2 linked regions of the Drosophila melanogaster genome follow. The protein of the gene in region 1 purifies or fractionates together with the protein of each later gene. This does not show direct contact. Each region holds a gene or a part of one and is shown on either strand. Other genes may lie near its edges. The genes, in order: Mybbp1A and nclb.

Evidence for each region.
Region 2: the proteins of Mybbp1A (region 1) and nclb purify together in Drosophila melanogaster (affinity purification with western blotting, with the first as the bait; one study listed by BioGRID). This does not show direct contact.

Annotation. Positions count from the first base shown.
Region 1 is NC_004354.4:623,180-639,558, forward strand, and holds Mybbp1A (MYB binding protein 1a), read left to right. Parts: upstream 1-6,593; 5' UTR 6,594-6,706; coding exon 6,707-7,030; intron 7,031-7,093; coding exon 7,094-7,465; intron 7,466-7,523; coding exon 7,524-8,804; intron 8,805-8,864; coding exon 8,865-10,289; 3' UTR 10,290-10,454; downstream 10,455-16,379. Other genes in the region: CG13369 (uncharacterized protein), read left to right, coding at 503-555, 617-1,165, 1,228-1,540; CG13364 (uncharacterized protein), read right to left, coding at 1,717-1,911; Hinfp (histone H4 transcription factor), read left to right, coding at 2,490-3,183, 3,325-3,641, 3,720-4,112; RpL36 (ribosomal protein L36), read right to left, coding at 5,283-5,507, 5,572-5,694; Dredd (death related ced-3/Nedd2-like caspase), read right to left, coding at 10,527-10,659, 10,723-10,877, 10,946-11,308, 11,367-12,110, 12,215-12,304; su(sable) (suppressor of sable), read left to right, coding at 15,268-15,541, 15,602-15,837. UniProt on the Drosophila melanogaster protein: Has a role in rRNA biogenesis, cell proliferation and tissue growth by contributing to the localization of nclb to the nucleolus.
Region 2 is NT_033778.4:10,867,125-10,883,503, forward strand, and holds nclb (no child left behind), read left to right. Parts: upstream 1-8,623; 5' UTR 8,624-8,712; coding exon 8,713-10,092; 3' UTR 10,093-10,172; downstream 10,173-16,379. Other genes in the region: CG30016 (uncharacterized protein), read right to left, coding at 7,851-8,159, 8,215-8,247; Taf5 (TBP-associated factor 5), read right to left, coding at 10,367-12,481; Pex6 (peroxin 6), read left to right, coding at 12,883-12,909, 13,204-13,716, 13,780-14,535, 14,588-15,991. UniProt on the Drosophila melanogaster protein: Chromatin-associated factor that regulates transcription. Regulates Pol I-mediated rRNA biogenesis and, probably, Pol III-mediated transcription. Regulates the localization to the nucleolus of Cdk7, a regulator of the Pol I-elongation factor TFIIH.

The sequences.
Region 1 (16,379 bases):
TTTATTATATTGAAGAATAATAATGCTTAATAACAGATATATAAAATTTCTTTTTTCAACAGTGGCTTGTGCTAGTATCTTAATTTAGTTTGCATAAGCTAAAAGCAATTAAACAAACATAACTACGTTTTCTCCATTATTATTCATATGTACATATATTACTAAGCATTCCAATTGTTAAAATCGAAAACAATCGAAAGTTTCGTTCTACATCATTCGTTCGAAATATGAATGATCCGGTTATCATGGTATTTTTTTGGTATTTTAGCTATATAGTTCGCCGATTTATCGGCCGTACCTCTTCCCCGATCTCGGCCAGAAGCGGACTGGGCCAGTTGGCTGATAGTGCTCGTTCGGCTGCCCCGCTGTCGCCCTTCCCCTCCTCCACCGAGGTCAAGTAATCTCGAGTGATAAGCGGCAGTGAACTCTCGTCTCTGCTTCTCCATTCCACAAGAAACTATAAATAACAGACTACCCACAAGAGACTAGTGCAATTGCAGCAATGGCCCAAACGGAAGTGCTGGTGTTCGGCTCGGCCATCATTGACTTTATAAGGTAGGTGGGCAGAGAAGGCTCGATCCCAAGGAGAATCTTACAAATACAACACCTTTTCCAGCTACACGACCCGTCTACCGAAAGCCGGAGAAACGCTCCATGGGCATCGCTTTCAGATTGGCTACGGCGGCAAGGGCGCCAATCAGTGTGTGGCTGCCGCGCGCCAGGGATCCCGAACAGCTCTGGTGGCCAAACTGGGGGCAGACACATTCGGCAGCGACTACCTGAGACATCTGCGCGAGGAGCGCGTCAATGTAAACCACGTCGAGCAGCTGGCGGAGGAAACGACGGGCGTGGCCCAGATAGCCGTGTCAGATGGCGGCGAGAACAACATCATCATTGTGGTGGGCGCCAACAATCGACTGAGCTCGTGTGACGTTTCCTCGGCGAAGGCGCTCTTCCAGGAAGCCAAAGTTCTGGTGTGCCAGCTGGAGACGCCCGTTGAGGCCACCCTGACCGCTCTGAGAGCCTTCCGGGGCGTGTCCATCGTCAATGCGGCTCCGGCCATGGCCGACACACCCCCCGAACTTCTTCAGTTGGCCAGCATCTTCTGTGTGAACGAAAGCGAGGCGGCACTGATGACTCAGATGCCCGACATTGGCAACATAGAGTAAGTGCGAGTAAGCGTAAACCAGTCGTACTGCCAACTAAATCGGGTCCCACTTCTGCCAGGCACGCCGAAGATGCGGTTGGAAAGCTGATAGCGGCAGGTGCCAACACGGTGATCATAACTCTGGGCAAACTAGGAGCCGTTTTCGGTTCCGCCGACTCCAAGGGCGTGTGCCAGCATGTGGCTGCGCCGAGTGTGCCGCCCGAAAAAGTGGTGGACACGACGGGGGCTGGAGACGCCTTCATTGGGGCCTTGGCCCACAACTTGGCCCGTCATCCAACGAGGAAACTGGAGGAGCACATAGCCGCCGCCTGTGCCGTGGCCTCGCAATCCGTTCAGCTACCCGGGACGCAGTCGAGCTTCCCACACGCTTAGAGGGAAATCCCCAAAAGAATGCAACGCAACAATAAATCTCTATCCTGACGTACAATGATCTATTTAATGGTAATCGTAAGTATAAAAAGATTATGGTCCACATGGGTGTGCTTCGGCTGGCAATTCAGCGTCCAGAATCCAGTGGGTTGCGGACTACAGATGGAGGCGTGGCAGCTTCACTTCTTTCCCGACTTCTTGATGCCGCCTCCTACGAGAGGACCCTTCTTTGAGGCGTTCGCCTTGGCCGCCTCCAGAGCCTTCTGCTGCTCCTTCTGCTTTTGCTTGAAGGCCATGTCGTCCTCGTCCAGGTCTTTGGAGTCCTTCTTCGGCGCCTTCAGAGGCTTCTTCTTACCGCCCTCGCGTCCAGACATACTTGCTCGCTTATACTGCGTGGGAGGAAAAATCTATGAAAATCGGGTTGGATTCCACAACAAAAAGTCACGCACCTTTTTCACACGTTTTTCCGATTTCCGCTGCACGATAACCACGAGAACAATCGATAGCTTCGCGCTTTCGATTGGCTGTGCGTGTTATCGGAACTGGACATATATTTCAATTAATTGATGAAATTATAAGAACAAATTTATATGAAATTATAATTATGTTGTTTCTAAAAATCGCTTCTCGAAGCGAACTTAAAGTCATCCTTAACAGCAATGTGTACCAGCCAAAATAAAAAAATGTCGATTTTGTCGATGGAATTTTAATGACTTTTCGGAAAAAAAAACATAGATAAGTTGAAAAATATTAAACCACTAACTATTCAACTAATTCAAAAGGAAGAGGAATTTACCATCGATTTCTTGAGCGACCTTTACAAAAGCGATGTATCGATGAAAAATCGATTGGACCAGCTCGTCGATAAAGTTGTTGTTTGCTCCAGGTTTACTTTTAATTTCAAATTCAACTAATATCCGGGATTAAGAGTGTAAATCCTGTCAGGAAAACCATGCTAAGGCCCCAGTCATCAGTGCCTGCGCCTCAGCCGCCTGGCAAGCGAAAGAAGCCCGCGGAACTGGAACTGACCTGCGGATGGCGCGACTGCCAGGAGATCTGCACTGGCGAGTGGAGCCTGAACGGGCATATTGGGGATCATCTGGAGCACTATGCGAAGGCCCAGGACGATCGGGGGGCGCATGCGGAGCACACGGAGCATCAATGCACATGGAACTCCTGCGATTTCCGCACCGAAAACCAGGTGGAGTTTGAACGGCATTCGTACTACCACGGCTACTACTTGAACCTGCTCCTGCAGGGGAAGCTGGAGTGCGATCTGCATCCGGAAATCCCCGCCTGCACTGCTCCGGCCCGCCTCATGGAGAAGCTGCCCGCTCTGGGCCAGAACTTTCGATGTGGTTGGACCGACTGTGAGAGGGAGTTCGTTTCGATTGTGGAGTTCCAGGACCACATCGTTAAGCACGCCCTATTCGAGTACGACATACAGAAGACGCCGGAAGACGAGCGGCCCAAGACGATGTGCAACTGGGCCATGTGCCACAAGCACATGGGCAACAAGTACCGCCTCATCGAGCACATCAGTACCCACTCCAACAAGAAGCAGGTGGCTTGCTTCCACTGCGGCGAACTGTTCCGCACCAAGACTACGCTCTTTGATCACCTTAGACGCCAGCCGGAAAACAACAGTGAGTGCGAGACTTGCTCTTTAAAAACACATAAAAAAAACCCTTGCTGCCATATCTATAGCCATACGTTATTCCTGACAAAACCCGCAATGATTTAATTTAGTTTACTTAACTACTTGGCCACCCTCTAATCTGTTACAGCAAACAGCTTCCAGTGCGCCCAATGCTTCAAGTTCTTTGCCACCAAGAAGCTGCTGAAGAGCCACGTGGTGCGACACGTTAACTGCTACAAGTGCACCATGTGCGACATGACCTGCAGCTCGGCCAGCTCGCTGACCACCCACATTCGGTACCGCCACCTCAAGGACAAACCGCTCAAGTGTAGTGAGTGTGACACGCGCTGCGTTCGGGAGTCGGATCTGGCCAAGCACGTTCAGATTGTCCACTCGAAGACGGTGCACCAGTGCGAGCATCCCGACTGTCATTATTCTGTACGCACCTACACGCAGATGCGACGGGTAAGCCACCGTTCCCCAAAGCTGGATTCCTTTCTGCCATTCGCTCGACCGCAAGTAACCCTCCTGTTTCTCTTACAGCACTTCCTCGAGGTGCACGGCAACAATCCCATTCTGTACGCCTGCCACTGCTGCGAGCGCTTCTTCAAGAGCGGCAAGTCGCTCTCCGCTCACCTTATGAAGAAGCACGGCTTCCGCCTGCCTTCGGGCCACAAAAGATTCACCTACCGGGTGGACGAGAACGGGTTCTACCGCCTCGAGACGACGCGCCTCGAGAGCTTGGAGGTGACCCAGCAAATACTGTCGCCGCAGGTGAACGACTCGCTAGCGAAACCGGGCACAGGATCCTGCTACGAGATCGTGGATCCCACAAATACCGAGTTCGAGCGCATCATCGTCTCGAATGATCCGAACGAGGCGCAGCTGATGGGTGAAGTGGTAATCTCCCTGCCCAGCCTAGCAGAGGAGCTGTGAGGAATAGAGCCGCCCGGCAGCCAACCCTTTGATCTCGTGTGCCCTTTACATTACATTAAGCATTTAGTCCTACCTAGAACCTAGTGCGATTGGATGAGATAGCACCCGGGGACGCGATACCCTGCCCACTGCACAAACAAAACTAATCGTAGTGTGTAAGGATCAAGGAGTCAGCCACTCTGGGAATTGAATAAAAAAACTAGCAGCTTAAGGGTGTTGAATTCTGCAGCACTTATAGGAGAAGGCCATTTCTCATTGCTTGTATTGCTGTCATTGAATTTTTGCTTTATATTTGTGAACTTATTTGTATTTTTATTGTGCCTCACTTTTTTAATTTCACTAATTAGTATATCAATGTTCAATATCAGTTTTCATTTACGTTTCGCACCTTTGTATTCGGTTCTTACTTTAATAGAGTGTATGAAAACTGAAAAACTGCCTTCACTTGTTCGCTGGCCATATATTTTAATTCTCCTCCATTTAACATTAGATCGAATCCTTTAACCCCAAAGATGACACAAGAGTTTCAAGGGCTATTTAGTTTTAGTAGGTTCGCACCGAAAAATCCATTGATTCCATTGATCATATTATCATATCGTACGTGCGCGCCTGCTTCTCTTTGCCCAGAATTTCTATAAGTAGCTAATAAGTGACTTGACTTCATTTCTTAAGTTGTGTAGCGAATAAAAATGCAGAGAAAAACGAAATATACAGATGATCTATACAAACTTAAAAGATGATCAGTATTTAATGTGCTTCTACACAGGAAAGTATTTCAACGTATGAAAAATGCTTACTACGCTTGAATCTTTGAAATTTGGGGACCGACCTTGGATAACTTTAGCACTTTAATCGCTGCTGTAAAGCCACACTTCTGTGGCGGCTATCATTAAACTGAGCTCAATTGAAAGTGTAGTCCTTCTCTTAGGAAGATGTATGTAGGTTACAACCTATCATATCTCGAACTCTTTCACTCAGTTTTGCGGCCATTTGTGAGGTTAGCTTCCTCTGCACTCGAAAAAAATAAACACACTTGTGGTGATTGGTTTTTTTTTTTAACGAATTTTAGTTGTTTAATTCTCAAGTAACGTCATCGGAAAGAAATGAGAACATAACACGGCGCTCCAGGTTGCCTTCCGATGCCGAGATGTCGAATCAGATTCCGTCCGTTTACTTGGCGTGGGTCTGGGCCTTCCTCAGCTGGGTGAGGATGTTGGACAACTCCTCACGCTTCCTCTTGGCACGGATGTGGGTGCCCAGGCGGCGCTTGAGGAACTTCAGGGCCCTCTTATCCTTGGACACCTTCAGCAACTCCATGGTGCGCTTCTCATAGGGAGCGTGGCCAACGACCTCGCGGACCAAGTCGCGCATGAACTTGGTGTGGCGGGTTTGGATCTGCAAGGAATTTAAGAGTAGAGTCGTCCGTGTAAACAAAGAATAAACGGGCGTGCAAACTTACGTTCTTCAAGCGCGATCCGCGCAGACCCTTGACCTTCTTGTCGCCGGTGTACTTCACATTCCTGATCTTCGAGGTCTTGTGGCCCTTGTTCAGGCCAATAGCCAGCTCGTAGCGCACTGCCATTTTAACTGAGGATGCAAACGAGAGACTATTAGTGGGCTTCACCTAGCACAAATCAAAGTATTCAATGAAATATCAATGATATAAAAAAAAAAAAAAAAAAGGCACACGCGTGCTCGCGGAAATCGCCAGGCAGCTCTTTCCCGTTTGTGCGTGCGTCTGAAATTGCCAAGCGAGGTGTCCCTGCCCTTGGCGAATTCTGACGAGGAAAAGGGCAGGGCCCGCGTCCCAACTGCACTGTGAGTCGGGTTAGGGGGGACCTTGTTCACTGGTCTTTCGAGAGGCACGCACACATGAAACACAAACTCGCACACAGGTATCAATCTTTGCTGCGACTGCCGCGAGCACGCGGGCGCTAAATAATAGCTGAGCACTCAAAAAAAAAAATATAATAGGAAATGCGGTGCGGATCAAGCGCACTGGAGTTGCATGCGCTTCAGCGCTTGATTTAACACACTTCGCAAGTGATTGCACTACAATTCAGACTTATTTTCGCGGAATAACACTCCACCTCAGACGCTGTTAAAAGAAAGAAAGAGCGAAAAAAGTTGGACAGGAAACAGTATGGCAGTTGGAGATGGGCGATAGTCGTGCCTTATTATCGATAGGCGGGCGGGCGTTGCCAGACTGTCCAATTTGCCAATCGAACCAAATTTGCGCGTGCGGAAAATGTAAAGATTTCAACATTTGGTATTTAGTGGTAAACTAGCAAGAAGCTGATACTGGCAAGCCAATATTATGTGCAAAATATTATGGCTAAACTTCAAAATAGAGACTGACCCCTTGAACAAGAAATAAGGGTAAAGAAATCATCCAGCTTGTAATTTTAAATGCTCAGGGGAAACTTTTCGATAGGCGAATTACCGCCTTCCGATTTTAAATAACAATATGCTCCGATAGCACCCTCCGGCTGTCGATAACTCAACTTTGCGCACGTGCATATAAAATAGAAATAGGACGTTATTTCCGAAATAATTTAAAGGTAAATTAAGTGATCCCCAAAAACAGAGCAGAAATGAAGAGCAAGGTGGATAAACCCGTAACCAATGGTGCACCAAATGCAACCAAGACAAAGGCCAAGGAGGACCGCAAGCGGGCAAAAACTCAAAAATCCGAAGCGGACTCGCAAATACCGGCCAAGATTTTGAAGAAGTCCAAGAAGGAGAAGCCGGCGGAGACCGAGGAAAAGGAAAATACCGCAAGCAACGCCAACCTGAAGGTGTCTCAGATCAACAAGGCCGTTTTTGTGGTCTTCAAAAAGATGCAGGGCAGTCAACTGACCAAGAAGATGATCAATTCGCTCATAACACTGCTGCGCGATGATACAAATGCTGAGCAGGTTGGTCCCTACCAGCTGTCCAAGTAGTTTCGCTTACTAATTGTTGAAATTCTTCGTCCTCAGCGCACTGCGACCACCGGCTACGTGCTCAAGCGCCTGATCCGCTCCACAGGAGCAGATGACATGAAGACGGTGAGCCTGGCCGCCAGTTACATACACTGCATCCTAAACGCCGTGCCCGCCATTGATGCTTTTGAGGTTCTGGAGACTCTGAAGCGAGACCTGGCCGTTGGCAGCCAGCAGAGGGGCAAGGAGGACTCACTAGCGGCCGTCGGTCAATTGGTTACAGCCTTCTGCATTCTGCAGACCCCGCAGTTCGCTAAGGCCGAGCCCAAGCTGGTTACGGCAGTCTTCCAGATTCTGGCAGCCCAGCTAAAGGGCAGGGAGTACTTGGTGTCCCTGTGTGGTGATATCCTGGCGGTCTCCTTTAAACAGGTTGGTGCTTAAGCTTTTCTGAAGGAGATTGACTACAGTTTCTTATGATTTTACGTAGCTACCCGCTGCGATCTTCGAGGAGTACGTGTGGCCACTTCTGCAACCCGAGCTAAACAAGCCGTTGAGTGGCTTGAAAGTGAACACTTGCGATGTCTTGCTCGCCGTGCATCTGACCTTTTCGTCCGTACTGGGACGGGAGAACATTCTAGCCAGCTTGTGGCCCAAGAAACCAGTGTACACACAGCTTTTCGATTTGTATTTCTCCGGTTCCACCATTCACAGCGATGGCGTATATGCCAGATTGGCTAGTTTTCTTGTTAATGGCGGAAAGGATATGCTCGCCGCCTGGCAGCAATATATCGATTCTAAGCAGCCACTCAAACTGAATGCAGCCAAGGCGTGTGCCATCCAAGTACTGAGCCACGTGCTCCTCAACTTTAAGCCAAGGGAAGAACAACTCATCCTGGATATCTTTACACCGACCTGTGTACAGTTCCTGTTGCATGAATGTTCATCTGTGAAATGGGACAAAGGTGAGGGCAAGAAACCGTCGCTAAAGAAGCTGAAGGAGATTTGCTTCAAGTTCGAGGGATCCTTGGTTTTGTGTTACGAAAAGCAGTTCCAAAACGATGATAACAAACTTCACCTGCTGCTCAAACTGCTGGAGCACACACTGCAGCTGGACTCGGTGATTTCCTTGCCGCGTTTCTGCCAGAAACTGATAAATCAACTCAGCGTCGAGAGCCTTCACAAGCTGTACGACTACTACAACAACAAGCTGTACTCATTGGAGGACGAGGACAGAGTCAGCCGAGTGCACTGCCTTAACCAGATGCAATTGATACTGAACCACTCAAAGCTTAGTCAGACAGCCAAATGGCGACAGAAACAGTTGAACTACTTGTTGCTCGCTGGCCTTTTCCACTTAGATGCCAGTAAGAAGCCGTGTGAAGCTGCCCAAGCCAGCGCTTTTAGTCGCCAGTGCGCGGCGCGTTGTGAGGAGATATTCCTGGGCTCCCTGCTGCACAAGTGCTCGGGTCTGCCAGGACTTTGCCAGTTGCTGCAGAAGACATTGAGTTACCTTAACAAAGAGTTGGGACAACCGGATGCGGAGAGCAAATTGCGTTCGCCGAGAGACGAATCACTGCAAAAGGCATGGAAGCAGGTCGAGAAACTGCTGGAGCGGCCCAGCAAGGAATCCGATGTCGTTGGCCAATCATTCGAGGCTCTTATCCTGTTTGTTTCTTTGGCTTTGTGCACAAAGATTCCCCCATCCATCACCGTGTTGGAAGATCTGATTATCTGCCGTAAGAATGCACTGCAAAAGAGCAAGGAGCAAGTAAGTAGAGAACCTATACTTCAATGTCATCCTAAATCTAAAATAACTGGTTTGCTCTAGGTTAACGAAGAGCTCAAATGGCAGGACGTGCTTACAGATGCCCTACTCCAGTTACTTTTGCAAACAGGTCACTTCTGGCGGGAGTTTGTTCAACTGGTGGCCACCGCTTTGATTCCGCACCTTGAGCACGGTAACCTAGAACAGGTCCTCGAAGTGCTCAACATGAACAAAAATCCCCTGAGCAAAAAGAGCGATGGCGAGGAGGAGAGCGATGACGAACTCGACAAGGAAGAATCGTTGAAGGATTCAAGCGATGATTCAGAAGATGAAGATGAAGATGAAGAGGAGGACGAGGGCGAGGACGATGCAGAGTCCCATTTGGCCCAAATTCGAGAGAGCGTTCGCCAGGCTTTGGTCAACGATGGCGACGCTGATGACGATGGCGCCAGCAGCGTGGATTGGAACGATGTGGACGAGGAGCAGGGCGAACGCTTGAATGCTGCTTTGGAGCGGTCTTTTCAGATGTTCCGACCCAAGTCGCGCAAAGCCCAGGAGAAGGAGCGTCCCACCAAATCGGAACGCATTGATAGCACCAACCTGCTGCACTTCCGCATTCGTGCCTTGGATTTGTTGGAGCTCTTCATAACCAAGAAACCAACTCAATCGGTAATCCTGGACGTGCTACATTGCGTGTTCCAGGTGTACAGCCATTGCGCCGCAGACAGCAAACTACAATCCTTGCGAGAAGCCAGTTTGAAGTTGCTCAAAAAGATACTCGCTAGGAATATCGAACTCAAGGAAAATCAGAGCACCGCACCCATTCTGGAAGCCATTGAGCAGCTGATGTCGTCTGGCGAGGAGCATTCAGAAGAGGACCAAGAGAACGGCAAGCAGCCCGCCAGCCGACAGGCCAAAAGAGACATCATTATTTGGCGGGACAGGTGCTTCGCTTACCTGGTCAGCCAGGCATCAGCAGATGGCGAGCCCAAGAAAAGTGCCGTCTGGCCCCTTCTAGTCGAATTCCTGGAGCTGTGGGTAGCCAAGCGACGTAGTCGCCTCTCTCTGGCCAGTTTCGAAGCCCTCTTTCAGTCTGGCCAATGGCAGGGAGTTGCTCCGCTGGCCGTTGTCCTGGCCTCTCACTTGGACGTACAGAAAACACGCAGTTTTCGGCGGGCACAGATACTGAAGCTGCTCAGCGAGCAAGGTCGCCGGCTCGAAGTCGCTTTCAAGGACAACAACTCGTCTTCCAAGAAATTTGAGAAGCAGATAGCCAGATATGTAAATCAGCTAGAAACGAAGGCTAGCAGTTCCAAGGAACTCAATCTGCTGCTTAAGATCCTCGCCCAAGGAGGCGAGAAGTGGCAGAAACTGCGTGAACAAATTCAGCTCGTCGCCAAGGATCTTCAACCCAACAAGAAGGTGGCGAAGCAGAAGAAGCAGGCAGCCGCCAAACCTATGGTCGTGGAAGATGAAGAGTCCACATAACGTAAAAGAAGGAAACACCCCAATAAGAAACCTTACAATTAGATGTATAAATATCTTGCATAATATAGGATACTATTAATTTTTTTGTTCTTTAAAAAATTCTGACGAAAAGTACTAAATTAGTATTGAAGTCATTGAAAAAATAGCAAAAGTACACTAAACTTTATAAAAATGTATTTTTACCTTTATAGAGCAATTTGAGTGGACGTACAACTGCGCTAACGTTAAAAACCAAAATCACAGACGAGGTGGAAAGTACACGTGCTGGCGAAATGTGCTTTTAACATTCGGCACCATGGACTCGTCATTACTGCCTCGCTTTTTAGACACTTCGTTGGTGACAATCGTCAGGATATCGGCGATGTGTTCACTAAAGTAACAAAGAACAACTTATGCATTAATTCGGGGCTAGCTTGCTTTGGCAGCTTTTTACCTGGCGGAACGGCGATCGATGGCATCGCACAGGCTCCCGATAAACCAGCTACCTGTTTGGGTGTGGCGCAGAGCAGCATATCCATTTACCGTGGACATGGCCCGCAGCATGTCGATGTGCTGGTCCGGCGACACGGTGGTCACGTCTATCCTAAACTGAAAGAGGAATACGAAAATGTATAGGCTTTCCCATTCGACGACTTCATGCTTATAAATCTCCTTACGAGCTCATTTGGCTTCTTTTTATGGACAAGCTTCTCCTGGCAGGCTTGTATGATTAGCAACTTCGGTTTGTAGTACAGGGTGTCGTAGCTGCAGAGCAAGTCCTCGATATCCGTGATCTTCATGGCGATGCTGTTGGATGCGTAGACGGCCTCCTCGAAGCCGTGGCTCAGGATGAAGACCACTAGGGAATCGCGCACGAGCGATCTATCGCACGCACTGCGAATGCGCTCTATGATGCCCATGTGATCCACGTTGTCGTACGCCTCCACATTGTATCCCATCGAGGAAAACACCTCGATTAGTCGTTCTTTATCCACATCCGTGCCATCCCGTCTACGCAGTGGGTCGGGCGACAGAAATTTCTGTGGAGAAGGGCAATGTTGTACTTCTTTTTGTTACTCAATATTGCAGAGATGAAACCATATTATCCCTGCTAACATTCCGGTGAAACTTCTGCTGGTTGATAATCAAGGCGATTCCTGCGTTCTCCCGGGTCAACTTAAGAGCATCTATTTGTGTGGAACAGTACGACTGCTGGTTATCCGATTCAATCTCTTGCTTGACTGCCATCGCAGCAGTGCCAGCCGCATCTGGCTCCGGAGCGTTACTAATGATGGTGTCTTTGAGCAAATTTGCTTGCGCCTGCAGACCGTTGGACTTCAAATGGCCGACCAGCAGCTGAACATCGCTGCCTGCGGCATTTATGTCCCCTAACTTTATGCTCCTTCTGGTCAGCCAGTCCAGCAAAAAGATCTCCAGGTACGCGGGATCGTAGAAGCGAAGTGGATCTCCTGCCTGCTGGCTCTCCACCTTTTCGCGAACATCTAGGAGCAAGCGGCCACTCTGCACCAACGACAACTCCTCACACATCCTGTAGAGGCTCTTCAACAGAGGATGGACATGCAGCGTGATCCCAGCGATATGCGGCAAGTAGTGCATTCGCAGCTCCTGCCAGCAGAAACCCAGTCTCCGGAGCACCTTGCGGGCCCCAATAATGCACAGGGCCTCCACGAGATGTCTTCTCCAGGTTTCTGGCCGGGACTTGGCGAACTTTATGAGTAGATCACTTTGCGGGAAGTCTGATCGTGTCATGGCCAAAAGTTTCTGCAGAATGTAGGTGGCATCCGAGTGGTCGTCGCCATAAAGCAGAAAGCAGAGGCCCACCTAGAAGAAAACGAAGGTTCTACTGTTTAATTAACACTTTGGTCTAGCGGATGTGTAAAACATTTGAGTCATATTCGAAAAGTCCTCCCAGGGAGGTGCCATACCTTTTGGGCAAAGTTCATGTCACGTTCCACGTAGATCAGATCGTTCTGATCGATGGTGTCTAGATGAATCAACAGGTTTGATCCGGCCATGGCGATCGGGAATATACAAAAATGTTTCACTTTAGGAAATGGCCGATAAATTGCACTCGCTGACATCCGATAGCCGTGGCCTGAAGAGCTTCCACCGATCGATATCGATAAATGGATATGTTTTCTGCAATAGCGAAAGATCGGGGTGCTACCTATTAATTATACTTAAGAAACAGATGATGTAGTTTTTTGATATAGAAGTTTAACAACCGGTTCAACAATCGGTTAATATTTAAAAATGTCGCAGCCAGCGAGCCTTTAGCTTTAAAAGTAAGCTTGCGTTCACGGTTTTTGGGGAAATACCAAATATACTAGGTAAAAACATCGATTAACTAATATCATCCAACACGACGATATGTTCTTTGCGAAAAATATCGATGTACTGGTATTTTTATGTTTCCACACCTCTAGTTCGTTTAAGTCGATCTGTTGAACTGTTAACAACACAACTCCTGAATATTATGTTTTGGACGAAAAGTTTTATTAATTTAATGTTTTTGTATATTGTATTCTGTCCATGAGCGTAACAGAGACAGACAGAGAGAAAGGGACAGATACTGAGATACGGGGCCCTCAGGCAGAGAAAGAGGGCGAAAGCAAGCTACAAGCGGGTGCGAGCGAGAGCGCGCGCTTGCCTCACGCACATATATATAAATCTGTACATACATATAGTATCAGAAGAAAAAACTAAAGCCGCTATTCGATTTACGAAAACTGGCGAAAAATTCGACGATTTGTCTCGTACCTATCTATGTACCTCACAACCACTTCGTCATCAAATACGTATAAGTCAGATGTATGTCAAACATATATATACATATGCATGTATATACACATCTATGTGAGGCCACTGCTATATCCCATACATGTATGCCTCTATATATATGTATATATTTATCCACCTACTGTACCACTTCCACATTATGTAAGCAGCGACGCAAACAAAACACTAAAGCAGAAAATCCGAAAAGCAAAATGCGAAATGCAAAACAACGAACCAACAAAATCCCATCTATAAACCGAAAACCGAACAGCAATGTTATAACAAATACCGAAAAGTTGTTAATGTTCCACAAAAAAGCATAAAGCAGTCACGCTAAGAGAGTAAGATCGAACAAATGAAATGTTTGTATGGCATAAGTAGTTCCCAGATTTTTGTATGTACTTCAATGCATATGCATGTGTGCGTATGCATGTATGTATGTATGTTTCTCGGGGCCATGTCTCCCCACGCCCACGTACGTGGGTGCTAGAAAGGGACAGATGGTGCAAATTTTTTAAATTGCATACACTTGATTTTGGAACGCCAGCCAAACAAAAAGATAAATTGCGTGCTTTTCTTTTGCTGTTCGTATGTACGTACATATGCAAGTGGAAACTGCGCAGCAGGGAAGCCACACGCATGAACGCCTTCCATTTACAGAGCATTCAAACAAATCGTACCGAAAACCAAACAAAAACTTTCACCTCAAGTGTAACAATTATATTCAAATTCGCTTTGAAGTCGCTGTAAAATATATGTATGTATGTATAAACAAAGACAAAAACATTTTGCCTCGCAGTCGACACACACACGCGCACTCGCACTGCACGCCTCGGCTGTGTGTGTGTATGCCCTGCTTAGATCATGAGTGTGCGAGCGAGTCGACATGCTTGGCAATCGCGAGTCAGAACTAAACACGCGCTCTATATGCACGTGTGTGAGACGCATTGGATTTTGTTATTTTCATCAATCGCAATGATTCCGTCCATCAGCTACATCCAAATATATACACGCATCCGCGCCATATGTACAATGCTACGAGCATTTACATACACATGTACATATGCGCGTGTGGCTCATAACGGTTCACTCCGCTTACGCACAATAATAAAGGCAAACGCCTACGACTTCCCCATTGTTCCTAGGCTCAATGGAAAGCCACTCCGTTGCTTTCGACTTTCGCTTTTCGGATTCTGGAATTTGTTTCGCTGTCCAAAACTACGTATAACTGAATCTTTATGTTAAGCCAATTGTAAAAAGTGTATTTTCCTTTCTCGTTCTCTCCACACAACAAATGTGCTAGCGCAACTTTGTTGATCACTTTTATTTTATACTGGAAGCATGTCCAGGACCCATACCCTTTAATTCATCAAACTGATTTGCTTATTATTTTGTTGCTGCACTTTGGAACTAGCTAAGTGCCAGGCTAAACCTAAGCGATCCGATCCCACTTAAACCAACCAACAAAGAGCAATCCAACCATTGTCAGCGAAAAGTGCTCAAACTTTCCGAGTGCTGAGATAAGGAAGGGTGCCCAAAACATTCATCGCAGCCATGCTGCCCACGCTACAAAGTGACTCTGACTGAATGCATCAGGATCGTATGATCCGGGTGGTCTATCTTAAGTCAATAGTTTCTGTCGCTAGTACTTGGACGTGCCTTCTGAATCCGTAGTCATTTGTGATACCAGCCATTTTATATTGTATTTACCTCAAAAACATTAATGTAGCATTTATTCAAGCAACGCTTGATTTTAGTGTTAACCAATTCCTTTCATTTGTGTTCAAAATTTTGACCGCCAATGGGGTGATTCAAATAATCCCCGAATGATTTTGGAAAAAAAGAATAAGGGGCATTAAACTACATTTATTAATTCGTTTTTATTCACTTAGAAGCGTATTATGGTACATTCCACCTTTTTAGTTAATACTAGCAGTTGCTTTATTTTAAGATACCATTTTATATTGTAATTGGACGTTAAGACAAATTATAAGACGTCCTTATATATGATTAGATTGGGAATTTGACCTTAAAACATATTTATGCATCCATATATGGTATTCAAAATCCGATCCCTTATCAACAGCTTTTCCAAATACCAAACACTTAAGAGTGCAGCAACAGAAGAGGGAGGCCACTTTTTTTAAGGGCACCAATTATTCCAATCTCATCCTGTGAGAGATTAGCTGCCAAATCGATAATGTCTGTCGCTTTAGCGGATGAACCCTTAATTGACTTGGAGGAGGATTTAGAGGACGGCGAGATCGACGACGATGAGGAGGACGAGCAGCAATCTTCAAAAATCCAAGTCCAAAAGAAGACTTTCGTAGGGGACGACGATGTGCAGTTTGTGGGTGTCGAGGCTAAGAACCAAAATGACGACGAAGATGTCGTTTACGTGGGACCATCGACAGATGCCGTTTGCCTCCAAAACAGCAACAGCACCAAGTCAAAAAAGCCTCGCCCATTAGAAGGTGAAAGCTCATTCAGTTGTTTCATTGATTCTTCTTGTTTAATCTGGATGTATTCCCTAGATGACCATGCTAGCAGCATTGAGTTGGCGATTGCCAATGCCCTCAAGAAGAAGGGCATAGAGCCCCCAATGCCCCGCATGCGTTCGTCTAACCAGGATACGAGCGATCAGTCTTTGGAGGGATCCGGGGAGGGACTGGCTACCGCCAATCCCCTTCTTCAGTCAACTCGCAGCAGCAGGCGAAGGAAACGCAAGAAAGAACGTGAGCGCGAGCAGAAGAAAGACAAGGAGCAGCAGGTGAGGCCATCACATTATGTCCAAATGCAACTATTAGATACCCATTAGCTGACAAATGCAGTATACCCTTCTGCTCCAGGAGCAAGATTTATATAGTTGTAGCTAGCCTTCGATTGGCACTTATGAAATGATTTTTACCATATTTACCTTTTTAAATAGAACATTGATCTTGGGTGTTACATGGAAGCGGTTAACCCAGCCAGCGTGACCAAGTTCCACGACCAATTGTTTTGTGTTCCGACCCAACTCCGCGCTTCTCCTGCACTTAATTTATCATTAGCCATCGGGATTAGTATTGCATGGCTCGTTCAGCTTGTTTCAACACATTGGGTCAGTGTACAAGGCAGGGCCAAGTATAGGGATCTTAGGCCAAGTATAGGGAATAGGAGCAGAAAATTAAATCTGATATGACATTACAGTACAGTATTCTTTATATCAGTACCGCGAACGCAGCAAATATCCATGTGGAATGTAACACGTCTGCTGTTCTTATAGGGGATACCGAGACTTTGCTGGGGTTCCTCGCCAGGATGTCCATCCCG
Region 2 (16,379 bases), on another chromosome or scaffold:
AGGCGAAAGGGAAAATTGCGGGGGCGATAAATACTTGGCTAAGTCTAAACGCTCGAGTAATTCGCAAGCACGCTGAAAATGAAATTCAATTGCGAAATTAAATTTCATTGAATTTAATTGCCGGCATGATCGGATCGGATCAAACAAACAAATCGAACGCTCTAATCAAAGCCAACGGAGCATGAAATCCGCCAAGTGACTTCTGAACATTCCTCCGTTGAATGGAGGGAGATTGAATCTGGTTTCATTTGAGTGTGTCTCGAATCCCTGGGTGTGGTCCGGATGCAGTTCGCGATAAGGTTGGAGATCGTGTATTCTCGTACTACCCATAAACATATATCTGTCCGTGCTTTATCTGGAGACTGGAGAGCTCATTTCTTCTATTAAGTGAAACATTTCCTTTAACATCCCCAACTGATAAATGGACAAAAGGGAAAGTAAATAAATAACAAGATGAATATTTATTAGTCAAACGATTAAGCTCTGCTTTCGTTGCAGCTCTGCTCGAGAAGACGGAAATCTATTAATATTTTATCGTTTCTAATTTATTAACCTTTTAAAGATGAATAGGTCATCAATGTAAAGATCCAAACAAAGAATTGATACTAATGAAATAGTTAAATCTTTAGTAAATAAACTAAAGGTTAAGCATAATTCAAGGTCGGTGTAATTTCTGCACAACTTTTACTGCGCCAAGTTCGTAAGTCGTTAGGCTTTTCTTCACGATATATGTATATGTACATATGTACGACCTTACCAAAGAGACAAACCACCCATCTGCTACCTAAAAACTTAATAGCAATGACCCAAAAAGTAAACCAAAAAAAGTGCTTAAAAATAAGTACGCTAATAGCGCGCAAATTATACAAGAAACGCATCAAAAAGATTGGCCAACATTAATGCCTAATCGTTTTAACCTCTTGTGAGTATAAAAAGCAAAGTTACTAACATAGGCAACCAGTCTCTTCGTCAAACTTTGTTTATAAACGAAGTTTATAATTCCCGGACACTAAGCCGGACATGATCTTGGCGAAGAAGTCGGCTTTGGTGTGCAAAAGATTAGTTTTTTTTTCTCATTTTTTCCGCTCTTTGGCCCAACGAAAGTTGTATGCCAGCTCTGACAATTTTTCAGCATTAACCCAAATAAAATTAAAGCAGCCAAAATAAAAATATAAGATATACTGGCCAAAACAAAGCGCGAGGAGAATAGAGGTCGAATGTGTGCCATTGTGTCGATTGAATATTTGATGCCCCGAAGAAGAGGCCTTCTAATTATGCAGAACGAAGAACCGCTACAAGAAAGCAAACAACGCCCCCTCTTCTGAGCGATTCTTTTTGAGCAAAATAAAAATTCTACTTAAAAAAAAGAACAAAAATATATTATATAATATAATAAATTAAAAGAATAGAATAGCAGCTTGACAGAGTCAAACGTTAAGCAAGCAAAATGTTATGACTAATGCACCTGCATCGAAAGTTTTTAAAAACAACTAATAATTACAATACATTTTGTTTGGATATTTTGGACTATGCAGTTAGACTTTGTTTTCAATTGTTATGAAAGGTATTTGTTATTTTTCTGAGTGCTTTTTTAAAGGTATCAAAAACCTGTTGCTCTGTAACTGAAAAGAGCTTCTGCGTAGCTGTCGATTGTAAAGTGAGTTACAAGTTGTTGTTCTCGTTATTTTGTAATTCGACATGCAAAGCACGTGCAATTGTCTCGATTCGAGCGAGCCCCTCCCACCGCCCCTTTTCCTTGGATGACGTAGAATATAGAATGCGACTGGTGTTGTTACTCAGTCTACAGAATATACTTTTGCATATATGTACATCTTGTTTGCCACCGTGAAGGTCTTCTTCGCGGTACTGCCTCGTCATCGTTCTGGTTTGGGCATTAGGCTATTGTCTGGGTCTGTAACAGTGACTGCGAGAAGTATCTACCATCAAGCAGCAACAACAATTTGTATGTGTGTCATTGTGGCAATTGATTTGAGTCGCGTGCATGCAACCTGATAAACCATCGTGAATGGTGTGAATATGGAATGGCTTATAGCCATATAGACAAACTCGTGTATTTCGCCTTTTATGCTTTGTTACTGTTACGTGGCTTGTGCCCAGAATGGCTAATGAGCTGGCCAAAACGGGCATAAGTGCTTGCTAATAATAGCAGTTTATTGCAGGGCTCAACCGAAGTGTTCTCATTGAGTGCTGAATACAAATGCGGTAAGGGATAATACAATATAATATAATATGAGTTAAAATATACAAAGAACTTTACAAACAAGAGATTCCCTTACGAGTTAACGTTAAAGCGAAAACTATACAGTCATAAATATCAAATGATTTATACAATAAAGTATGTTTTATTTACAGACGAAAATATGTTGTCTAATATCTTAGAAAAATAAACAACTTAGTAATCCTATTCTAGCTTCAAAAATAATTCCTTGACTTCCCATCGCATTCATTTGCAAAGTAATTGATACAGTGACATATTCCTATGCCCCCACCCCTTTTTAATTCACTTAATTAATTGGCAACACATGCTCACGAGTGTAGTATTTTCCCTGTTTTTCATACACTTGTCTACAGAAATATGTATGCTTGTATGTGTGTACCTCCCCCGTTGAATCCCATTAACAATGCTTTTAATTAGCCCATTACAGCCGTTCCCCAATCCACAAAAAATTGGCAAAGACAAAGAGACAGAAGCTAACTGTTTTGCACAACGCAATTCGGATTAATTAAACCTTATAGAATGGGTGACGATGAGTGCACCACACCCTGAAATGTGGAAATGTCAGGCAGTTAAATCACTAGATGCTGCAGCTAAATTTCGTCGAAAGCAATACTATTCCATTTGAGTAGCGCCACTTGACTGACTCACTAAACTTGTATTTATATTAAGAATGCTTATGCTCATGGCGCAAAACATTAAACTTATTAATTAACACTTGGCTGATATCTTGGAGGAACATCTTTGAGTCGTTTCTCAACTGGCTTTGTTTTGGAAACGGCTTTTACCACTTTTTCGCTCGTCCGAGCATTATTGTTTCTCTTTTGTGATTAATGGGTGCGTTACCATTGGGATTTAGTGCGCGACTGAGTTCGGCTAATACCATCTCTCTCCCCCCCCCCCCCCCAACCGCCTTGCAAAACCAGCAAAGTCCCCCCATTAGCCTCACCCATGTAGCATCTCTCATGCCTTTTCAATTACACTCCCCTTCTGTGTTTGAATTTTGCGCCACATTTTTAATGCCGAAACCATAAAAGTGCTCATGTGTGTGCAGAAATAAAAAAATATAAAAAATTGGCTAAAATAAAAGCCAGCTTGGAAGACTGAATGCTTGTTAGCAGCAGCAGCAGCTACCGAACTATAAAGTGCACAGAAAAAGAAGAAACAAACCGAAAAGAGCGGCTACAAAAAGTCTGAAATTAGTTTTGATTTTTTTTTTTTTTAAACTCACTTTGCCATGGCGGAATGTCTTAGTCACGCCACCTGCTGCAATCCACTTGGATTTTTTGGGCATAAAGTAGGTAAGGGAAGGTAAGGAAGGTACTAAGCGCACTCCAAATCTGTTTGGTAAACATTGTAGACGAAGCGTGTGGAATTAAAGCCAAACACGATAATTGTGCCGAGACTCTTGGCCAGAGATTGTCAAGGTCGTGCATCTTACGCGAGTAAATCAAGGAAAATGTGAGCAGGTTAAAGAAAATTTCTACCTACTAAAAACAATATTAATGCATCTCCAAATATTAGTTTCTTCCTACAGGATGGTAGATGGTTTTGGAAATGTATCTTTTTATGTAACCTGCTCTTTGGTGTCAGATCATTTTGTAGCTCAATTAAAAAGACGCAGTACGACTTCGGCCTCGAAGTGTATATCATAATGCATGCTTATCGGAAACTACACATTGAACACATTTAGAGTGGCCCCATGCATAGCCGGGAAATGAAGCGAAGGGGCGACGAACAAAGCGAAGAGGAAAAGATACGGATGGCAGGGGATACATGCATATGTATGTAGGTATATACATATGAACAAGCCCCCATTCCCTGCAAGTAATATGAGACATTGCTAAGGGCACATGAAACAAAATAATCAAAACCTTCGCCGGATAAACGCTTGAGTGCAGGTCAGAAAGGAAGAAGGACCCCGCAGACCTCGATGTCCTCGGTAAACACTTTACGGCGTCTACTCGAAATGTATCTCATGGATGCGAAAGCCCGGCCCGGCACGGCCCGGCCCGGCGTTGCTGACTCATTTTCCTTGAGTTCCGAACAGGTTGGCCGACTCACACTTCCACACACATCCGCACCCCTGCAATCCGGACTCAAACAGTCGCACTCAGATACAAATGCAAATGCCCACACAACTGCGCAAACATTGCGAAAAACATCTACTTGGGGTTCGGGAACAACAACTACGCGCAAGCGGAATGAAATGCCCTGAAATTGCATGGAAATTAACAAAACAAAATGCAATGAAATAAAACTAAAAGGTGAGGCTAGACGTGCACATTCGCCATGGCGATACCTTTCAATTGAACTGCTGAGCGCGGAGAATTGTGATTTTGAGATTCAACATTTTGTTATTATAGAAACTATAGAAACTAAAGCAAGGGCAGGTGATATTCGATAATTCGAGATGGTAAAGGTTAGTTATATGCATCACAACCATTTTTTAATCTTGAAGGTTAAGTATCTAAAATACATTTGAATCTCTACTGCATTTCGAAAAGCATATTAAACACTGTTTCTGAATAAGTAAGACGAATGAACGAATTATTCTAAGCTCCCAGTTGAAACAGTGTTAGCCCCACGCAATTGCCCATTGGTATTCAAGGCTAAATGTAATTGGTGGGAAACTGCATTGAATAGTTCGCACATTCAGCATTGTTCTCACAACTGCAAGTGCGAATATACCCGCATGGAACATTCGTATAAGTCGCTGGGTATGTGCACAACTTAAAGGCGAACTAAGAAACACAAGACGACGACAAAATTTACTTTAGACCAAGCTCAAGCTCAAGTCGCAGCTCCAACTCCGGTGCTCGAGTGAACAACTCGATGCAATCGGCCAGCGAATTCGAACGAAAGGTACTTGAAAAAGTGCATGCGGGTTCATTTCCTGTTTGCTCTTGCCATTTTAGCTACACGGCGGCAAATAATGGGTATTATTCACAGAATTTGTACGAAGCAGATAGTTATTTGAAAGAAAGATAAGGATAACTTTGATTATGGACGAAGATTTGTAAGTTATGTAATTGGTTTTCAGCTGAAGTTTTTCTTCAACAGAATATGTTAAGTTCATACATCCCGCAATTATTTATGTAAATCTTATTAAATATTTCTCTAATATGTGACTGAGAACTGCAAATTAGCATTTCATTGCAATATTTGGCATGGATGTTTTTAAAAACTATTTTTTTCTGTGCATCATACAGAGACTTCTTGCCATTTTGCGATGTCAGCTGAACTCGACGACAAACATGCTCAAGCACTGGCGATTTCCCCCCATTTCTACCCCGCCCACTCTGCAGACTTAAAGGTTTTTACATTTATTTTTTACTATTTCGTATTTCGATGTTTTTTTTTCCTGGTGCTGTTGCTTTGTTTTTGCGGCCAACTTTTGCCTTCTTTTCTGCACTTTGGCCGCTTAGCCGCTCTCTAATTTGCCTACGGCGTTTAACGATCATCGCATATTGGGTTTTTGGCTTTACGTCAGTGCAAATTATAACCACGTAGGTTACGATTTTTGACACTTTTCCAGCGACCCGTCTAACGGTATTCGCAGCCATAGTTCAATTTATCTCTGGACTACAGTTATTAATGATTGCTTTTGGTCAGAGCTGCGGGCCAGGAAAGCGTTTATCGTTGGATCGATTATCAATTACATATACACAATTTTTCGGCTGCTTTTTGTCGAAATCATTGGGTCTTGTGATTAATTGACCGTTAGCAAGTTGTCATATTGATTGCGTTTTGATTCGGCGCCGAACTTTCAATTATTAGGTAAACCGAATTGTGCGAAATGTCGCAGAAAAGGTGAGGTAACATTCCTCGGGCTAGACAACTTGGCAATTTAAATATATTTAATATAAACAAAAACAATCGAATTAAAATATAAACTTTACATAAACTGTTTCCCACGTTTCAAAGAACTTGTATGGCGAATGAACAATGAAAGTGTTAATTTTGCTGTTGTAGCTCAACTGGTTCTGGCAACATTTTTGCACAATCAATAAAATTGAATTTAATCTACATTTTAATTTAGCTTCGAATCTAGCTCAAACCGGAGAATGCTTTCATTGTTTCATCATTTTAAAATAATAAAAAACTAATATTAAGCTAACCATGAAACATTTAATCTGTTTAAGATTTGTTTAAAGAAGAACGAGCAAAAGCTTAAAAGTATTAGATTTCATAAATGGCAGATGATTTTTAGTTTATTTAAATTCAATAAATACTTTTTATGATATTTGAACTCAAGTTACAAGTTAATTAATCAATTTTATTTATTAATTATTAATTTTCGCACGGCGTAATATATTTGGGAAAAGATGAAGAAAAGTGAACTTAAACAAGTTGGATTTCATAACTTCAGAATGGTTTCTTAGTGGGGTGAATCTTAAACAACAGGTTTGTTCGCCCAATTGAATAATATTCCAAAACAACAGATTATTCCTAGCTTCCTGATGAGATCACCTAAAGCCACCGCCACTCACCTTTCGGAATTACTTGTGCGATCTTCGCCGGATTCTGGAGGTGCTTCGTACCGCATTCAAATTGGACCAATTGGGGAGAGCAGAGTTACCAACTGGCGTGCTGATCTCGTTAGAATTTAAGCTCGTTTCTTTCCGAGTTTTTCGGGTTTTCAGATGGCAGGCGGAGCGAGACGCGGCCAGGCACTTGGTATGGGTACAGATATAGATGATGGCAGGGGTCTGGGTATAGGTATAGGTATAGGTACTAGGCGGGGGTACTTGTTGCTCACGCGGAGCCCAAAAGCAAAACCTCGGATCTGGACGATGGCCAGAAAATGGAAACGCGATTAGGGGCAGGCGCAAAGGGTATGGGTACACAAAAAAGATGCAGAGCCAGCAGCAGCGCGGAGTATAAAAAAAATAAACGAAAACAATGCCGGAAAAAATCAACATGCACACACTGACACCAAGAATATGTATCTTAAAACTGGTTTAAGATTTGTCGGGGATTTGCTGGCTCGGCCGCATCGAGTGTATGTCTATGGGAGCGCTGTTTGTACTTTCCAATAACAAATCCCACTTCTTGTTTGCCTCTTTTTGAAAACACGCACACATATGTATATTATTATGGAAATATTGTTTCCACTCAGAATCCAACTACGAAACAACTGTTGCACCTCGGTGCAGGATATGAATCAGAAAAGAACTGAAGGACGCAAGCATCCATCACTCACTCACTTTGCAGAGAGCACTTGCCAACGATCTTGCATTTTCAAATATGTTTTTTTTTCGTATACAAATTACCGGCACACGACTCGACCACCGATCGCCGTTTCAAAAACATTCAATTCCAAACACCGACAACGCACCGAACGCACGAACCTCCCGCGACAGGCGCTAAATACAAACTGAGCGGAACCAAACGACACCGAATGCTGGCTAGAGATGGCAAGATACTGCACTGGCGAATAGGGATGGGAGCGTGAGGTTAGTTGATTTCATGACACGGTTACTCATGCACGAACATCGCACGAAGTGTAAAGCGATCCCGAGATGTTACAAATAAACATTTAAAAAACCTTTATTCAAATCAATTACATTTTTGTAAGTTGTGTAACATCCATTATTCGGTTTTAACCGAGCTATGTTCCACGATATGTGGAATACCCAAAGGGATTGAGTAACAAAGGAATGTGATAGTTCTGATTCTCACTGCAATCCACAATCAAGTCAATTGCTGGATAAAGTGTCCTCACATTGCGCTCCGCGTAATAGGCGCCCACGTGAAAGGTCAGCTTATAGATCCCGCCGGGAAATTGACCAGGTTCCAAGAGCAGGCAGCGACCATCCGCATCAGTTTGGGCCGCCCGAAGGGATCTCCATTCCTGAATCTCGTCCAGCCTGGAAACTGTTACTCTCACATTGGCTGCCGCCTTTCCCACCGAAGTATCCTGTAAAAGGTTAACGAAAAATTTTATACATATAAATAAATTGAAACAAAGTTACCAATATGTGGGTAGAAAACTTTCGTGCATCCATCTTGAGGGCAACTTTAAGATTAAAGATCGTAGATATCTCTGGTATCTCAGACGGTAGCAAAAGCTCCAGTTTATGGGACTCTTTATCTTAATCTTTGATTGCATCTTGCATTAACAATGAAAATCACTGATAAGTGGGATATCAAAATAATATGTAAGCCAAAAATCTGTTTGGGGAAATAAATTGGAACGATCATATATATACTTTTTTTTAATGAAGTATTAATTCCAAATAAACGAATAAATTTGCAACAGTTTTTAAAAATATAAAAATCGTTTGATGCCGTATGTTTCAGTATTTGTTTAAAGTATTAGCAAAGACACTAGAATATTCTATTATTCTAGTGTCTTTGGTATTAGTAACAGCGTAATTAATAGGATCTGGTCACACAACCTGCCTTGTTTGAACTGCACGTGTTTATCAATTCGTTTGGTGTATCAAACTAAGTTGAAAAATATAATCATAATGGCTGAGGAAGGACCACCGGAGCCGAGCATTGATTTTGTCCCAGCTCTTTGCTTTGTACCACGCGGCGTGGCTAAGGATCGTCCCGACAAGATCGTGCTGACGCAGGCGGAGCTGGCCAGGATTATCGGTGATACGCAACAGGAATTGGACGAGGAGAGCGACGACGATGCAGAGGAGGGCGAAAATGCCGAGGAAGACCAAAACGACATGGATGTGGACGACCACGCGGATGCCAATAGTGAGAACCGCGATCCGCAGGACGAGTTCCAATTCCAGGAGTATGACAACGAGGCGAATGCTAATGTCACCAGTCTGGCCAACATCGTGGACGCTGGCGAGCAAATCCCCGATGAGGACGAAGACTCCGAGGCCGAGGACGAGGTGATCAAGCCCAGCGACAACCTCATTCTAGTGGGTCACGTTCAAGACGACGCCGCCTCCATGGAGGTGTGGGTTTTCAACCAGGAGGAGGAGGCTCTCTACACCCACCACGACTTTCTGCTGCCAAGCTTTCCTCTGTGCATCGAGTGGATGAATCACGACGCGGGCAGCGAAAAGGCGGGCAACATGTGCGCCATCGGCTGCATGGATCCGATAATCACAGTCTGGGATCTAGACATACAGGACGCTATCGAGCCCACATTTAAGCTGGGTTCCAAAGGCAGCCGGAAGCAGAACAAAGAGCAGTATGGACACAAGGACGCCGTGCTGGATCTCTCTTGGAACACCAACTTTGAGCACATTCTGGCCAGCGGGTCCGTGGACCAAACTGTGATTCTGTGGGACATGGACGAGGGCCAGCCTCATACAACCATTACCGCTTTTGGCAAACAGATTCAGTCGCTGGAATTCCATCCGCAAGAGGCTCAAAGCATTCTTACCGGCTGTGCCGATGGATACGTGCGACTCTTCGATTGCCGCGACGCTGAGGGCGTCAACTCGTCCAGCATTGAGTGGAAAGTTGACGGTGAAGTGGAGAAGGTCCTGTGGCATCCCACACAGACCGACTACTTCATCGTGGGCACCAACGATGGCACCTTGCATTACGCCGACAAACGTTCTCCTGGACAACTGCTGTGGTCCGTAAAGGCCCACAACGAGGAAATCTCCGGTGTGTGCTTCAACAACCAGAAGCCTAATCTGCTGACCTCCACCTCCACGGAGGGCACCCTAAAGGTGTGGAACTTTGATGGCACAGAGGCAAAGCACGTCTACGAGCACGAGTTCAACATGGGTCGCTTGCAGTGCATGCGCCAGTGCCCCGAGGATCCCTACACCCTGGCCTTCGGCGGAGAGAAGCCTCCGCGCTGTGCGATCTTTAACATCAAGAACTCGATAGCCGTGCGCCGAACGTTTGGAATCCCTGATGCAGAGTAGGCAAATCGTACAGCTACGTATTTATCTGTGTATATGCTTTATATGACTTTTAAATAAATATGAATTATATATAAGAACCTTAATGATTGACTTTTATATTAATTAAAATTTATTGATAACTTGCGCATATATGCACTTTACACTTTTATGCTTAAACAACTAATCGACATTTCAGGGGGGATGGGTCACAAACGAAATACAAAACATTAATCCTAAACATTCCGAGCATTCCTTAACACTACATTACGTATACCAAATAAGCTTATCTGTGCTCCTAACTCTTGAATAGACCCACGCACATCAGGAGATTTCGGCGCGTAAAGTGCAGGCTGACAAATGGCGAGTTCTTGCTGGGGAAAGTACGCATGAGGTAGACGTCCTCGTCGTTCTCATCCTGATGGTGCGACACAGTGATGTGATTGCTGATATAGTCTTCGGTAACCTTGTGAAAGTCCCACAGAGTTAGATTGTTATCCAAGCCGGCTGCAGCCAGGACTGTTCCATCGCGACTAAAGGTGATCGTGGTCACAGTGCTAGTGTGCCTCAACAGGGTGGTGACCAGGGATCCGTTCGACAGATCCCAGATGATGATATTGTGATCTACTGAACCCGAGGCCAGATACCGGCCGCAGGCGGAGAAGGCCAGAGAACTCACCGATCCCTTGTGGCCCGTCATCAGGCGTACCGACTGACCGGTCATGTTGTCCCACAGGCGTACCGTGCGATCGCTAGAACCGGTGGCCACATAATTGGAATTGGGATGAAATTGTACACAATCCACGTCCGACAAGTGACCCACGAATACGCGCAACGCTTGATTGGAATCCGTGGCCCACAGACGAGCAGTTTTGTCGTACGAACAAGAAACAAAATAGTAGCCATGCGGCGCAAAGCGAACATCCCACACCGGGTAAACGTGCCCGCGGTAGGTGACTACGCAGGACCAGGTGAGCAGAGACCACAGCCTTATGGTGCTGTCCTCGGAACATGAGAGCAACAGGTTCATCTCGGGGGCAAAGGCACAGCGGTATACGGGTCCGGTGTGACCCATTAAGCTCCTGGTTACCTCACCACTTCGGTCATCCAGCATACGCACATTGATATCCGCCGATTCCTTGTCCAGTTCGCGAAGGGAATCTGCATCCTTCAGCGTACGCAGCTTCGCGGGCGTCAATGACCAAATCCTCACGCTAGAATCGCCAAATCCACAGGCCAACATCGTGGAATCGTCTGAAATCTCGGCACAGGTTACGCCCTGATGGGAATTAAGCACCGTGTAGAAGACGGCAGAGGGCAGTTGATCCTTGCTGAGGGCTAAACGCTTGCTGGCTTCCCTGAGAGCCTTAAGCTTTAGCAACTTGTCCGAATCCTTCAGTTCCGGCAGGGGAATTCTGTCGATGGATGGAGCATTCGGATCCGACTTGGACTTTTTCGACAGCAGGGGATCCTTTTTTGGCTTTTTCTTTTTCGGACGATCCGGGGCATCCGGATCATCGTCCTCCTCCTCTGGTGCCGGCGCTGGAGTGGTCAGAGTCTGAAAGTCCACCTCCTTGAGCAGTCCGTAGTACACCCGCATTTTGTTGTCCTGTCGCTTGGCCTCTCCGAGGTGCGAGCCCGCGGTGGCGACGCACTGCAGCTTGTTGCGCGCCATGCCCTCGTATGTGTCGAAATGCAAGTACTTGGAAACAATATCTGCCACCACTTCCTGCCGGCGATCCTGAATGTGTCGCTTGAACAGAGAGTGCGAGTCCCTGGACATGCGAATGACAAACTTATCCTGCTCCATGGCTACTACGAGGTCATTCTCCAGCAGCTCCTCGGGCTTAGACAGCAAAAGAAGGTTGAAAAGACCCTCTATGTAGTAGCCGTCGAGATCGCATTTGTACTTCTCAATGAATTCTTTGGCCTTCTCCCTTAGTCCACTGGCGAGGATCTTGAAGTAGATCTGCACCAGAATTGGGTACAGAACCATGGACAGCTCATGCTTGTATATGTCCAGGGAGTCCTCAACGAAAGTGCGCAGCTCCTTGTATGCCTGCTCATAGTGCTGAGCATCAAAGCTGTCGTCGTCGATGAACTTGGCCAGTTCCTCTGCAGCATTGGCCTCCGTCACCGCGGACTGTTTATGACCCTGCGCCGGAGATTGGACATGTTTCCGCTCCCGGTTGGCATCGCCAGCTCCCAAAACTGCGCCCAGCACCTGCTGAACATCACTTTCGCTGATTTCCGACAATTCCACACTGCTCACATTCGCCTCTTGGCAGAGCAGCTCCTCAGTGCTCTTCAGCTGGTACTTTTTGATGAGTTTCAGCAGGCACAGCAGCTCACGCTTGTCGTGGGACAATTGAGTACCGTTTCCCCCGTTTATATTGCTCACTTCCAGGCTCATTTTCGCGGAAAATTGAAATATATGGAACTTGTGTACTATTTTGTTATGCGTGGAAAAGTGTGACCAGGTTGGCATCGGTTGAAAACGGCCAAGTGGAGAATGAAATATACTAAAATGCACCAAGTACAGTCAAAATATACAGTAGCCACTAGCGAAGACGGATTCTAAAAATAAATTGTATTAATACATTATAAATTATATCTTTTTGCCAATTTTTGGAATTACTTAAAATATAATGACATATTTCATTCTTTCATTTTACTACAAAATTAATATTTAACTTTTATGCAGGTCAAAGAAATTATTTGAAGATGTGCTTATAAAGGTCTTACTGTGGACAGCTGACTGAATACTTTTAGTATTTTTTGAGCAAATATCTTACCAGAATCAAAACATTCGTAATGAAGAGGAGAGTAATTGTGAAAAAGGTAAAATACAAAGTAACTGGCCAAATAAACAAGCTAATTTTTATAGCAGAGGGTAATAATTTGCTGTGCATTAACAGAATTAACTTGCCATTGCATATTTCAGTGTATTTGTCTGGCGCCTATCCCCCAACTCCTTGAACTTTGACACCGCCTCCTCGAAATTAACCCTTGTACTCGTGCTTTCTGTTGTGTTTAGTCCATATTTATTGTAAAAAATGAATGAAAATGATGATGCGGTAGGTCCATATGTAACATTTAAGCCATATTAGCTAATATCGTGATCAATTCCCGCAGAAAAAAGTCGTCGGCAAGCGGAATTCGGTGTCGTTCGATCAACAAGATCCAGGACAGCCGAGATTTAGCTTCTCTGGGAGAGTACAGGAGCTAGTCGAGGGCTACAATTCGGCCATACAGCTGCTGGCGCCCAAGTGGCCCTGGTTCCTCTACCCCGGATATCTGACATACGCCGTATACTGGCGTTACGCCAAATATTACAAGGGCAAGTTTCTGCTGACCCCCATTCCGAACCGCCTCTACGATCTGCTGATCAAGAACGAGCAGATTAAGTCGGAGCACCTGGTGTTCGCCAGTCAGGAGGTGTACGAAAACTATGCGGAATCGCCGGACGTCAACTTTGTCAACTTGGTTATCCGCGGCAGGAGGGTAAGAATCGGTAAGCCGCTAGCTTCAGACGAAGGAAATATGACCCAAACGGTTATCAAGCAAATGCTCCAGGAGGCGCCGCATACGATTGTGGCCCAGATCTTGCCGGCTGCACAGTGCCAACCCAATTGTCTGTACGTTCAGGTGGGTATCTAGTTCTAAATAAATGGAATATTTTCTATAATTCTACATCGTGTAAAATTTCAGGAGAACTTCTACGGCAACATATTGGATCGCTTTCAAATCCGCTCCAACTGCTGGGTGCAGGTAGAGCATTTTGCCGATGAGCAGACAATACCTGGAATAGCAACCAAAGCACATGTGTACTTAGTCGCAGATCCCCATGAACTTCCCGCCGAACTGACAGAGGTCATCCTGAGCAACTATTTCAATACACCTCGACTCATGCATCGTGGACATACCTACCGCATCGAGGTGAACGCAGAGTTGGTGGGCACTGCGACTTATGCCCACTATTACCTGATATTCGCTCACCTACGCCACGTCCACCTAAAGTGTATTCACCTGGAGACAAAGGGCAGCGAGTTCGAGCTGCAAGCGATTGTTGCCAAAAACTTTAGCAACCTTGTTCAAGTGCCTGCATCTCACAGTTTCCTGCCTCGTCAAGTGCTTGACAGCATGGCCATCGTTGAGAACTATCCAAGTGGACTTCGAAAGCCCTATAAGCTGTTGCGCTCCTCAGTAGATGCTTTCCTGCCAAAAAAGTCCGCCTGCCTGTCGTCAAAGCACATATTTCCTGTGTTCCTCCTGCAAGGCGAGCGAGGATCGGGCAAATCAAAGCTTGTGAGCGCCGTAGCCCAAGAGTTGGGGATGCATATTTACGGAGCAGATTGCGCAGAGATCGTTTCGCAAGTTCCCTCCCACACGGAGATGAAGCTAAAAGCCGTATTTGCCAAGAGCCAAGTTTGTGAACCGCTTATGATTTGCTTCCATAACTTCGAGGTACGTGGGCTTTGAGTAAATGTGCAGAGGTTATTACAATTCATATTTTCAGATTTTTGGCATAGACAACGAGGGTAACGAGGATCTGCGTCTGCTTTCCGCCTTCCACGTGCAGGTCCAGGAACTCTTCAACAGGGACCGCAAGCATCCGATTGTAGTGGTGGCTTTGACCAGTGACAGACACCTTAAACCCATGATCCAAGGACTTTTCTTGGAGATCATAAACATTGACATGCCCAGCAAGGAGGAGCGATTCGAGATTCTTCGCTGGATGCACGTGCGCGAGACTTTCAACGATATTATCTACAATCAGAAGGCTATTGAGCAATTACCCTTGTTCTCGCGGGAAAATCAGTCGCAATTCATGCCACGCATTTCTCCCAGCTGGAGGGAAACCCTCAATGTCCTTCAGGATGTGGCTGCAAAGTCACAGGGCTTTCTGCTCGGCGACCTTCAGTTGCTGTACGACAACGCGGTTCGCATGAAGATTCGCAATAGGTTGGGTAGGACCACCCTGGATATGTCTCACTTCGCCAAGAACCTCACTGACATGCAGAGCTCTTTCGCGGACAGTTTGGGTGCGCCCAAGGTGCCGAAGGTTTATTGGTCGGACATTGGTGGTCTAGCCAAGCTAAAAGATGAGATCCAGAGCAGCATTGGTCTGCCGCTTAAGCATGTTCACCTCATGGGCAAGAATCTAAGAAGATCGGGAATCCTGCTCTACGGTCCCCCAGGAACAGGCAAAACCCTGGTGGCCAAGGCTGTCGCCACTGAGTGCAACCTGAGTTTTCTTTCCGTTCAAGGTCCAGAGCTACTAAACATGTATGTCGGCCAGAGCGAGCAGAATGTTCGCGAGGTCTTCTCCAGGGCTCGTTCTGCGGCTCCTTGTGTACTCTTCTTGGACGAACTGGATTCCCTGGCTCCCAATCGAGGTGTGGCTGGGGACTCTGGCGGTGTAATGGATAGGGTGGTGTCGCAGCTATTGGCAGAAATGGATGGAATGAGCGATGGCGACACTAGCAAGCCCATATTCATTCTGGCCGCCACCAATCGCCCGGATCTTATTGACCCCGCTCTTTTGCGTCCTGGTCGCTTTGACAAGCTTTTCTACGTGGGACCTTGTTCAACTGCCGAAGACAAGGCAGCCGTTTTGCGTGCCCAAACCCAGCGATTCGCTTTGGACGCCGGTGTGGACATGGAACAGATTGCCGAGCGTTTGAAGAGCGAAATGAGCGGCGCAGATCTGTACTCCATCTGCTCGAATGCATGGCTCTCCGCTGTGAGGCGCACCATAGACGGACACTTGAGTGGAACAATATCAGAGAAGGAACTGGTGCCGGAGAACGTAATTGTGCAGGAGGAAGATTTCACGAAGTCTTTCAACAAGTTTGTGCCCTCGATCAGCGCCAAGGATCTGGAGTATTTCAACAACCTAAAGGCTTCATATAGTGTCTAGAGTATGCGCAGATGGTTAACTAGTTCTAAGAGTTAGTTTTTTACAGACATTTTTCGTTGTTTTTCAATAAACCCGTTGATAGTTCACAATTCCCAGCGAGCTTCCACTCGTTTGAACCACTTAAGGTGGGTGGAGCTCTCGTATGAAATAGGAACCAGCGTGTGGAAGTGCGACTCGAATTACTGTGGAAGACAGCAGGAGGTAGGTGATTCCAATTAACCTTTGCGAAGTGGCTTCTTATCATTTCGGACAATAGCTTCCCCCCATGTCGAGTAGGAAAATTACGTCTTTTGATTTAAATGATCCCTGCGCTGATCTGTACTTCATAATCTCGGGCTGGTGAGGCATCCCTTATCTACAGTGTGTGCTTATCGCGATTCCCCGGTTT